3 linked regions of the Cricetulus griseus genome follow. The main gene of each other region encodes a partner of the protein of the gene in region 3 in a complex. Links are inferred from orthologs where the notes say so. Each region holds a gene or a part of one and is shown on either strand. Other genes may lie near its edges.

Region 1 (3,651 bases), on a different chromosome or scaffold from region 3:
TGTCATACCCCGTATCCAAGGCTGACAAGACTTCTTATTCAGTAGTGTTCTAAAATCACTCTCAATAAGACCTTTTTGTTTTGTTTGGGGGAGGGGGTTATGGGTGCCAGGGACCTTAATCTTTATCAATGAATCCAGGGTGTCCTCTGTGCTTCAAGATAAAAGGGCCTTCATTGTCACCAGACTGCCATGTTATCACTGCCCCCAGGATACATGGCTGTAAAAGGCTTTGCTGTTTAAACAATGCTTTGCTTTATAGAGTCCTCTTCAGTAGTTGATTTTAGATTCTTTATGGGAAAGAAAGATTTCCCTACACTCTCCCCATCGTAAAATCTCGTAAATCATTAATAGTACCGAACTTTGGAGTGGTAGCTGTCTTTTCAGCATCTAGATGGCTGTGTGCTCTGATTTATGGCCCTGACCCTAGTGACTATGGCCTTTCTCTTGCAGGGAGTCTCTGGAAGCACTCCTGCAGAGGGCTGTGGCCCACTGCCCCAAGGCAGAGGTGCTGTGGCTCATGGGTGCCAAATCCAAGTGGCTGGCAGGGGATGTGCCTGCAGCAAGGAGCATCTTGGCCCTGGCCTTCCAGGTAGGTAAAGGATGCCTGTATTGGAAGGGGCCATGAACACAAACTCAGTGTTAGTGCTACTGTGGCCTTAGAGCTTACCTTGTGCATATTCTTTGGGATATGTCATGATCTAGTCTAGAGACACTGGATTGTGTGGGTGGCCTTGTCTATGAGGCCTAAGCATGAGGAACATTGCAACCAGCCACACTGGCCTCAGTTCCCTTCTATTTCATATGACTATAGGCCAGGTACTCCAGAGTACAAGACCACAATGTAAGCTGCCTGGGTGCTTAATGCCTTTGTGAGAGTGCTGTCCTACTAAAACAGATATACTTACTGGCCTAATGAGGCCTAGCTGTTACGATACATACAATGTTACTAAAACAGATATACTTACTGGCCTGCTGAGGCCTAGCTGTTACAATACATGCAATGTTACTAAAACAGATACACTTACTGGCCTAATGAGGCTTAGCTGTTACAATACATACAATGTTACTAAAACAGATAGACTTACTGGCCTAATGAGGCCTAGCTGTTACAATACATACAATGTGTGTGTGTATAAGCTAGAGGTCAACCTAGAGTGTCTTCCTATATCACTGTCTACTTTTTTTTTTTTTCCTCCTAGACAGGGCTTTTCTGTGTCTTGGCTATCTGTATCTCATTCTGTAAACTGTCTGATCTCGAACTCCCTCTGCCTCTGCCTCTGCCTCCTGAGTGCAGGGCTGCCTAACACACCCTGAGGGGTTTTTTTGTTTTTGTTTTTTTGGGTTTGTTTTTTGTTGTTGTTGTTGTTGTTTTGGGGACAAGATCTTTCAATGAACCTGGAGCTTACAGCTTTGGTTCACCTGGTTACCAATTAGTCTTTAGAATTCATCTGACTACACCCTCTAGTACTGGGGTTACAGATGTGCATTGCCATGCCTGGCTTTTATGTGGGTGTCCAGTAAGCACTTTACACACTAAGCCATCTCCTTAACCTACATGTAACATTTAAATTTTTTTACAACAAAAAATGATCCTAATATTTTTTTAGAAGCATGTGCTATCCTCCTGTGTCTGTGTCTTTTTTTAAAAGATTTTATTTATTTATTATATATACAACATTCCGATTCCATGTATATCTGCACATCAGAAGAGGGCACCAGATCTCATAAGGGATGGTTGTCAGCCACCATGTGGTTGCTGGGAATTGAACCAGTCTAGTATCATAGCCCAGGGCAACAGTAAAGTTTGTCTGTTGTAAATAAGCACCAGAAGAGCTAACTTGCGTCAGTACAGCTGTTATCCGAAGAGACTATAGGAATAGGTGATAGTGCTGTGCCAGATAAGTGATGTCCTTTCTACATACAGTTTTCTCCTCAAGTTGTGTGCTAGAATTTTAAGGTGGTTCACTTTTACCATAACCATAGACACCATGGCCATGTTGCAGAAGTCTTTAAGGAGGGTAGGTACACATTATGAGGCACTACTTTTATGTCCCCTGGACTCTTAAGTTTGTATAGCTTGGTCCATGCCTGTGGGAACCCTTTACACTTCATTATCTCACCTTGATCTACCCTGACCACATGGGCTACCTGAGGGGAAGGGATGAAGTTAGATGTAGCAGATTCTGATGCAAAGATGTGAGTGAGCCAATCATAGTTTTGAAAGGCCGTGCAGAATTTAGATGCATCCTAGAGAGGGTGGCTCTACAATACTAGTATTGTTGCTTCATCTCTGTACAAGAGTAAAAGAGAGAGAGAGAGAGAGAGAGAGAGAGAGAGAGTGTGTGTGTGTGTGTGTGTGTGTGTGTGTGTGTGTGTGTGTTTCCCCCCCAAGCTGAGATCTACATTTCCTAGCTTGTGCAGAAGCATACTAGTCCTGTATCAGAGTGAGGTTCAGTTCACTTCTCAGACTGCCTGTTCTTAATTAAGTGTGGTCTAGCCCTGGTCACTTTTGTTTTGAGCCTTTTTGATGCAGCTGTGCTTATTCTCCAGGCCAACCCCAACAGTGAAGAGATTTGGCTGGCGGCTGTAAAGCTGGAGTCCGAGAACAATGAATACGAGCGAGCCCGGAGGCTGCTGGCCAAGGCACGGAGCAGCGCACCCACTGCCCGTGTGAGTGGTGGCTGGTGGGTGGGGCAGTATTGGCAGAGTGCCTCTTGGCTCATACATGGCATTGGGAAGGAGTGAGATGAGTAGGACAGCTCATGCCACAGCCCAATCGTGTTATTGGGCTTTAAAATGCATTTCTTTAGCTGGGCGGTGGTGGCTTATACCTTAAATTCCAGCACTTGGGAGGCAGGGGCAGGTGAATCTCTGTGAGTTCAAGTCCAGCCTGGTATACAGGGCAACATAGAGAAACTGTCTTGAAAAACCAAAAAAAAAAAAAAAAAAAAAAAAAAGGCATTCCTTTATTTATCTATACCTCTTGTATATACAAAAGAGCTACATACAACAACTTATGAGGTACAGGACAGATGTGTGTGAACGATGTCTATGATGTCATGTGTGTGATATGAAGGTAGTTAGCATCCAGATAGATGGTAGAAGTAACAACTCTGGTGTGATGGTGCTTGTCTGCTTTACAGGTATTCATGAAATCTGTGAAGCTGGAGTGGGTGTTGGGGAACATCACTGCTGCCCAGGAGTTATGTGAGGAGGCTCTGAGGCACTATGAAGACTTCCCCAAGCTGTGGATGATGAAGGGGCAGATTGAGGAGCAGGGGGAACTGATGGAGAAGGCCCGAGAGGCCTATAATCAAGGGGTGAGCCTCTATTAAGATGTCTTAGGGGCCAGGAGATGGTAGAGCACACCTTTAATCCCAGCACTCAGGAGGCAGAGGCAGGCACATCTCTGTGAGTTCTAGTCCAGCCTGCTCTACAAAGTGAGTTGCAGTGCAGCTGGAGCTACACAGAGAAACCCTGTCTTAGTGGGGTGGAGGGGGAAAGATGTCTCAAGGAATAGCATGACATTGGTCAATTTCCCATGCTTTTGAAAGAAGTGGAGGGCCAGTGGTCTGTGATAGAGCTTTGTGCTTGAGACTGAATTTTTATGCTTCCTTTTGTTATGGATACTGTTTTCCTTTCTACAAAGTT
Region 2 (3,751 bases), on a different chromosome or scaffold from region 3:
TAAGTAGGGACAACCCAGGTCTCATGAAGTCATGAATGCTAGGAAAGCACTCTAGTGCTAAGCAAGGTGGTTAAGCTCTCATTAGTTTTTATTTCCTATTTCGTGTCAGGGTCTTACTAAGTTGTCCATGCTTGGCAACTGTGGCCTCCTTCTGTTTCTTAAGCGCTGGGATTGCTGGCCACTCCTCACAGCAGCTTTTTATCTTTTTCCAAAACACAAGTGTGATAGCATGTTTTCCAAATGTGATGACACCAACATACGGAGTGACATCTAGCAGTTACCTGTAAATCAATAAGTGTTAGTAACTGCAAAAGCCTGCAATAAACTAGACTTCTAAAAGGACAAGAAGAAGCCGGGCATTGGTGGTGCACGCCTTTAATCCCAACATTGGGGAGGCAGAGGCAGGCGGATCTCTGTGAGTTCGAAGCCAGTCTGGTCTCCAGAGCGAGTTCCAGGACAGTCCCCAAAACAATACAGAGAAACCCTGCCTCGAAAAACCAGAATAAAATAAAGTAGCAAAAATTAAAAAAAACCTTTGAATACTCGGTATAGAATATTTTTAAAAGATGCTTCGTAAGGGTTTTCAGTACTCTAGGCTTAAAAGTACAGGATTCCTTAAGAAAATGAGTAGTAGTTGAGACAAACGCAGAACGAGTTGGTGATAGCAAATCCTCATTGATTTTATGGCTCTGAAGAAAGATCCAACCTTTTAGAGGAAAACTAGCCGACTCAGAGATCTCGTATGTTGTAGTCTTCAGGCAGATATAGAGGAGACAAACTGTCAAGTTAGCAAAACTTCGGGGGCACGGGATGGTGGCACCGATATAGTGCGGAACTATTCTATCGAGTCTGTCGGTGATCCATTTGGATACCCCGCGATCGCCAGATCTGCCTCCGATTAGTTCCGTCTGAGCCAGTTGTGGGAAAGGGCGGAAGCGCGCTCTTTTAAAGTCTGCGCCCGTAGCCCTATGCCACTTCCGGCGTGGCCATGGCGGCTAACGCGACCACCAACCCGTCTCAGCTCCTGCCGCTAGGTAAAAGTCTCGCCCGGGGCGCGGGCGGGTTGCTGCGGCCCCACGCCCGCGCCGGAGGCTTGCCCCTGGGGCCGCTGCGGAGACCGAGCCCGTTGTCTGTCGGCGGCCGGCGGGGGCCCCACTTGGTGAAGGACGCCCTCGGCCTTGCTTGTGAGCTCGCCGGTTAAGATGTCCCGGTGCCGGCCCAGCTCGCAGTGTGGCCTTTCCGGTCTACACCTTAGGGAGCCCCTGTATTGCATTTGGCGGTGTGAGGAGGGCGCCACGGTCTACAGTGACTCCTAGAAAGAAATCTGGAGACTAGCTCCGTCATTCGTTCGTTCATTCATTCATTCATCCATCCATCAAGCAGTTCCCTCCCCGTGCCAGGGTACTGTTGAATAACGAATTTAAACTACGGCCATTGCTTTCAGATAGCACACTGAAAGACTTCGTGCCGAGCAGTTCTCGGTTGGCCACGGAGATGCTCAGGTTGGTCTCCAAGCACAGAGCTAAAGGCAAGATGAGAGAAGTGACAGGAAGCTGGTGTCGGTCGTGAGGCCTCTCCTCTGTCATGTTTTGGCGCCGGTGAAGTTAGTCAATGTGGCAATGATGGAAAGTTCTTGCAGGGTCCACTCCAGGGTATGTTCATCGGCAGAAACACTGATGAGGAAAAACTAACATGGTTTCCACCTTGTGGTGTAATTGTTTTTCATACATTAACCAAATAGTCAAAATCACAGTCCCGTTAGTTGCAGCAAAAAAGGAGGTAAGCGAAGGCCAAGACAAACATTTGTGCTAATGGCTGAGCGGAGATTTGTGTAAGATGTAGTTATTTAGTGACTGCTTTTTGTTTCTCTTTAATGATACGGAAATAGTAAAGTGAGCACTCGAATGCTTGTTGAACTAATAAGTGGGTAAAACAATCTTTTTCTTTCCACAGAGCTCGTGGACAAGTGTATAGGATCAAGAATTCACATTGTGATGAAGAGTGATAAAGAAATTGTTGGTACACTTCTAGGATTTGATGACTTTGTCAGTATCCTTTTAAAAAGTGTTCATGGAACAGGTTTTTAAAGATGTATTAATATAAGAGCTGTAGACAGATGACATATTTCTGTTTATTACATTAAAAATTATTTATTTTCCAGGAACTTGGTAACATTTTAAGAGGTGTGCTTGCAGAAAGCAGATAGGGTTCTCTCCAACAACAAACCTTTTGAATTTGCACCATTGTGTTGAACATTTTTGCAACCAAACAAAAACATAAACCAGAATAAATTCAACCTTGTTTATTTTCTTAACAACAAATTTCAGATATGGTGTTGGAAGATGTCACAGAGTTGTGAGTAGTATTAAAAATGACAAATAAATGGGGGAGGAGAGGAGGAAATATCTTTTTGAATTAAAGGCAGGTACCCTAGTTCCTTTTCTGTTACTGTGAAGAGACAGCATGGCCAAGGCAGTTTATAAAAGAGAGCGTTTACTGCGTGGGCTTGCTTACAGTTTCAGAGGGTTAGAGTCCACGTTTTTTCATGGTGAGGTGTGTGGAGGCAGGCAGGCAGGCAGGCAGGTGTGGGGCTGGAGCAATAGCTAAGTGATTCTATGTTGAGATAACCATGAGACAAACAGAGAGCCAACTGGTTATAATTTATTCTTTTGAAACCTCAAAGCCCACCGCCACAGTGACACACCTCAGACAAGGCCACTCCTCCTAGCCATTCCCAAACAGTTCTGTCAACGTGAGCCCGTGGAGGCCATTTTCATTTAAACTACAATAGCAGGATTAGTATGATGGATAAAGTATTACCTGTTGGAATTCTTTTAATGCTGACTTATTTACCGGTATTTGTGAGGTTGGGCCAGAAGATTATTATCTTAATGTCATTATTCCTGAATTTCTAAGAAATTAGTGTAAACACGCTTTATAGTGACTTTACATTTACTTCTATATTATATCTTTGTAATATATCTTTATATTTACTTCTGTATTTATGAAGTTTTATATTTACATAACTATTATCTGGTGGGCAGACTGTATTGCTGAAAATTATTGTAATTGTATGAGTTCACATTCATTCATATGTAAGAATAACAGTTTTGATGCTAGGGATTGAACCTAGGGCCTTGTGCTCTGCCACCCAGGTGGTGCTCTGCCACCGAGCTAACCTCTTTACCCCAGGAATAATTTTTAGAGAGGAAAAGCGTTTCCAAAATAATTGCCTTTGAATACTTGTTTATCCTGACTCCATTTTTTATCTATTTAGTGAAATTACACCAGAAGGAAGAAGGATTACAAAATTAGATCAGATTTTACTAAATGGAAATAATATAACGATGGTAAGACATTAAAGCTGTTTTATTTTGAATTTAATTACTTTTATAGGGCAGGGATTACAGAACACTGCTGCTTAGCTCAGTGTTCACGGTCTAGACATGCTGAGGATGGGAAGGGAGCCTTCAGTGATCAGTGCCCCAACGCAGCTATTGAAAGAGCATTGGGCCTTAAGATTCATTTGCTTATTAATCTTTATTACCTTTAGTTCATCAGGAACCATTGTTGAAACTCTTAAGCATCAATTAATGTTGGGATTACTAGCAGATGTTGATGATCTGGGAAATGGGAATTGAAGGATAGGGGAGAGACAGTGGTGGCTTTGGTCCATGAGGAGCACATGGGGAGTTTTAGGTGGTATGATAGTGTTATTAATAAACTCTTTTTCTCTAATACAGCTGGTTCC
Region 3 (3,651 bases):
TATTTGGGTCTTTTTCTGTATCTGCTCTATTTGTCCATCTGAATTTTTTTTTATGCCCAATAAATATACAAATGCTTGCTTGATGGATGAAGGGATATAACAATAGAATGAGGAGAGGAAAAAAAAATGCAGTCTTTGCCAAACTGTTCTTTAAGAATTTTGTTTTTGTTTGTGCTGGTGGTTGAACCCAGGGCCCTGCACATACGAGGCAAGCCCTGCCCCCTACTATTGAGCCCAAACCCCAAACCAGGGAATTCTTTTTGAAAATACCTGCTAAAGCAAAGTACAAAATGTTCTTGGTCTCCCAGTTGTCACTAAGACATACAGGCTTGAATGGTGAGGCATTGTTTATGCCAGAAAGGAATTTCTTGTTAGTATGACTGAATGATATTTATAGTACCTTGTATATAGTAGACTGACTCAGTCTGCTGTTGATTGTTGGTATAGTTTATTTTATTTGTTTTTAAGTTACGACCGTTCATGGCGCTTATGGGATTTAGAGGCTCAAGAGGAGATCCTGCATCAGGAAGGCCACAGCATGGGTGTGTATGACATTGCCTTCCATCAAGATGGCTCTTTGGCTGGCACTGGGTAAGCTTCCTCCACAAAGCAAGGGTTGGGCAGGTCAGTAGTCTCACCTCTTAGGCATCCCTGCTTCCCTGTGGAACTGGGTTTAGAGTACTCACATGTATGTTGTTTCTTCAGGGGACTGGATGCATTTGGTCGAGTTTGGGACCTACGCACAGGACGTTGCATTATGTTCCTAGAAGGCCACCTGAAGGAAATCTATGGGATAAATTTCTCCCCCAATGGGTAAAGCACAATCAGTGAACGGGAAGGGTTCTGGTCAGATAGTACTTTTTGTTTCTAACTGTGATACTTCTGATCCACAGCTACCACATTGCAACTGGCAGTGGTGACAACACCTGCAAAGTGTGGGACCTTCGACAACGACGTTGTGTCTACACCATCCCTGCTCATCAGAACTTAGTGACCGGTGTCAAGTTTGAGCGTAAGTTTTGCTCTTGTTCTCAGCCTTAACATCAGACCCTTTGCTTCATGGACTACATGCCAGGCATTAGACTTAGACATGGAACCTCTGTTACAGAAGCAAATTTTAATTTCCTTCCTTCTGCCATACCTACAGACAAAGCTATGGCAAAATATGCTTCTTGAGGCTAAGACTTCTGTTCAGGTTCTGTTCCATTTTGTCCTCCATGAATGGTCAGGCACTAAATGCTTGATGTTACTGTCCACCAGGGAAAGAGCACATAGACTTCATTCCGTTACTTGGTTGTCCTCAATCTGCTCGTGACTGTTCCTTAATCGTACAGGGCCCCCTAGGAATGTAGACTCTGTTACGTTTGTCTGAGATTAATATGTTTTGGCAGATCTTTGTGCTTTTTTTTTTTTTTTTTTTTTAAGCCCTTTTTTAATTGCTCATGTTTGCTTAATTTCTCCTGCAGCTATCCATGGAGACTTCTTGCTCACAGGTGCCTATGATAACACAGCCAAGATCTGGACCCACCCAGGCTGGTCCCCATTGAAGACTTTGGCTGGTCATGAGGGCAAAGTAATGGGCCTAGACATTTCTTCTGATGGGCAACTCATAGCCACTTGCTCATATGACAGGACCTTCAAGCTCTGGATGGCAGAGTAGGCAAGACCATGGAAGGACTTGGACCTTGTGCTCTCACCGAGGAGCCATTTTCCTCAGAGGAAAAGAATTGTGTTGTGTTCTATCATGTTTTCTGCCAAATACCATGTGTAGGATTGGATTTTCACAACAACCCCACTTCTGAGTAACCCAGTCTCTAGGTGATGGCAAACCCTTCATGGTTAGAATACAATTCTCATCTCAGGTTCTGCCATAAACCATAAACTGTGTAGACATTGTTTAGACTAATCGATTTGAATGTTCTCCCATCTCTTTCGGTTTCAGTACTCAGGATTGGGATTTTTTTTTTTTTTTTTTTTCTTTTTTGTATTTTGAGACAGGGTCTGTCTGTTTAGTCCTGACTGTCCTGTCTATGACAGGAGGCCTCACATTTTAAGTGACTCTCTGGCTTCTGCCTTCCAAGTGATGGCATTACAGAAGTGTGCTGCTGGGCCTTACAGTTGCTTTTGTAATGCTTGAAAAGTGGCTGGCTGTAACATGGTATGTGCTCTGTACTACATGTGATTCAGCAGGAAGATAGCAGACTGCATTTGAAACTCCCCCAGTTAAGAGGGCATGCCAGAAGGCAGGGACAGGCACTCACAGATCTCGAGGCCCGCCAGGTCTACAGAGGGAGTTCCAGGACAGGCTCCAAAGCTACAGAGAATCCCTGTCTCAAAAAACCAAAAGGCGGGGGCATTCTGCTCTAAGTGCTAGTTGAGCGGGGCCTGAGCAAGCTCCCCTCCTGCTCCAGAGGAGATGTCTGTCAAGCAGTAGACTGCAGCTGCATGATGATGCAGAAGCAAAGAAGATTGGCCTCTTCCTGTGGAGTTCACAGCTATGTTAACTGCATCAGGGAACTCAGAACTGAACATGTCTGCCTTGTTGGGGAAAACCTCTTCCATTTTGCTTTGAAGTTTGGCATCCTTCGAGATAAAACAAGGCCATTGTATCCAGATTCAAAGGAGTTTTTAGAAAACAAACATGTCTGTGGTACAACCTCCTTCCTGTTGATTATTTAAAGGGTGTACTTTATGTATTAAAAAGATACTTCGTGTCAAAGTAAATAAGGAAAAAAAATCCCTAATTTATGTTTGGGTGTTCCCAAACATGATCATTTTTTCTTTATTATACACTTGCTGAGAGTAAAATCCTACCATAAAAATGTCTTTCAAGGAGGTCCTCTTTAAGTTTTGAGAGCTAATGTAATTCCAGGGGTGAATTGTCCAATTTCTGACACTATTCACAGATGTTTATAGAGGGCTTTTTCAGGGGAAAGGGGTAGGGTTTTTTTGAGACAGGATCTTTCTGTGTAGCTCAGATTGGCGTCAGATTCTTAATGCTCCTGCCTCTGCATCTCAAGGTGCAAAGGGTGTACAGCTTTTTTTTTTAATAGAGTTGTTGGCCTAGGGAAGCCAACAGCAGTGAGCTGTGTCTGAGCTCCCTAATTCTTCATCAGTCTTGTGATTCTCTTCACCTTCCCACTGTGGGTATATATCCTCAAGAATTGAACAGTAAAATCCACACAAGACAGTAATGTAAGAAGGTCGTCTATATAGAGAGTAAAACTAGCATGAACTTGTATTCCGTATTCAAAACTACACTCTGCCAGCTTCCTGTTCTGTCCTGCCCCCTTCGGGTTATGGATATGTGGTATAGAGCAAAACATGGTTTGGGGTTTTTGTTTTTTTACAGAGTCTTACTATGTAGCCCTGGCTGGTCTAGAACTTAATGTATTAGACCAGGTTAAGCTCAAATTCAGTGATCACCTGCATCTGGCTTCCAAGAGCTAGTATTAAAGGGGTATGCCCACCACTCCCAGCAAAACATTTTAATCTGATTCCAGTTATAGCTAACCGTATTTCCTCTGTAGTTGTAAGCTTCTCAGGTCTATTCCTTCATTTGGAACTTACCACCCTTAACTTGTTCTATTCCCATAATAATGTGCCATAAAAAACACCTTTTTCTTGACTTTGTCATATTTGTAAAATGAT

The links.
Region 1: Prpf4 (region 3) and pre-mRNA-processing factor 6 share a complex: the UniProt entries of both Homo sapiens proteins name them as parts of the U4/U6-U5 tri-snRNP complex. The link is inferred for Cricetulus griseus from reciprocal best matches to the Homo sapiens genes PRPF4 and PRPF6.
Region 2: Prpf4 (region 3) and Lsm5 share a complex: the UniProt entries of both Homo sapiens proteins name them as parts of the precatalytic spliceosome. The link is inferred for Cricetulus griseus from reciprocal best matches to the Homo sapiens genes PRPF4 and LSM5.

Annotation. Positions count from the first base shown.
Region 1 is NC_048599.1:257,721-261,371, reverse strand, and holds part of pre-mRNA-processing factor 6, read left to right. Parts: intron 1-450; coding exon 451-589; intron 590-2,550; coding exon 2,551-2,670; intron 2,671-3,143; coding exon 3,144-3,320; intron 3,321-3,651. UniProt on the Homo sapiens protein: Involved in pre-mRNA splicing as component of the U4/U6-U5 tri-snRNP complex, one of the building blocks of the spliceosome.
Region 2 is NC_048601.1:84,604,877-84,608,627, forward strand, and holds the start of Lsm5 (U6 snRNA-associated Sm-like protein LSm5), read left to right. Parts: upstream 1-912; 5' UTR 913-988; coding exon 989-1,034; intron 1,035-1,953; coding exon 1,954-2,049; intron 2,050-2,327; coding exon 2,328-2,355; intron 2,356-3,277; coding exon 3,278-3,350; intron 3,351-3,743; coding exon 3,744-3,751. UniProt on the Homo sapiens protein: Plays a role in pre-mRNA splicing as component of the U4/U6-U5 tri-snRNP complex that is involved in spliceosome assembly, and as component of the precatalytic spliceosome (spliceosome B complex).
Region 3 is NC_048595.1:83,446,406-83,450,056, reverse strand, and holds the end of Prpf4 (U4/U6 small nuclear ribonucleoprotein Prp4), read left to right. Parts: intron 1-468; coding exon 469-591; intron 592-705; coding exon 706-813; intron 814-893; coding exon 894-1,012; intron 1,013-1,466; coding exon 1,467-1,660; 3' UTR 1,661-3,628; downstream 3,629-3,651. UniProt on the Homo sapiens protein: Plays a role in pre-mRNA splicing as component of the U4/U6-U5 tri-snRNP complex that is involved in spliceosome assembly, and as component of the precatalytic spliceosome (spliceosome B complex).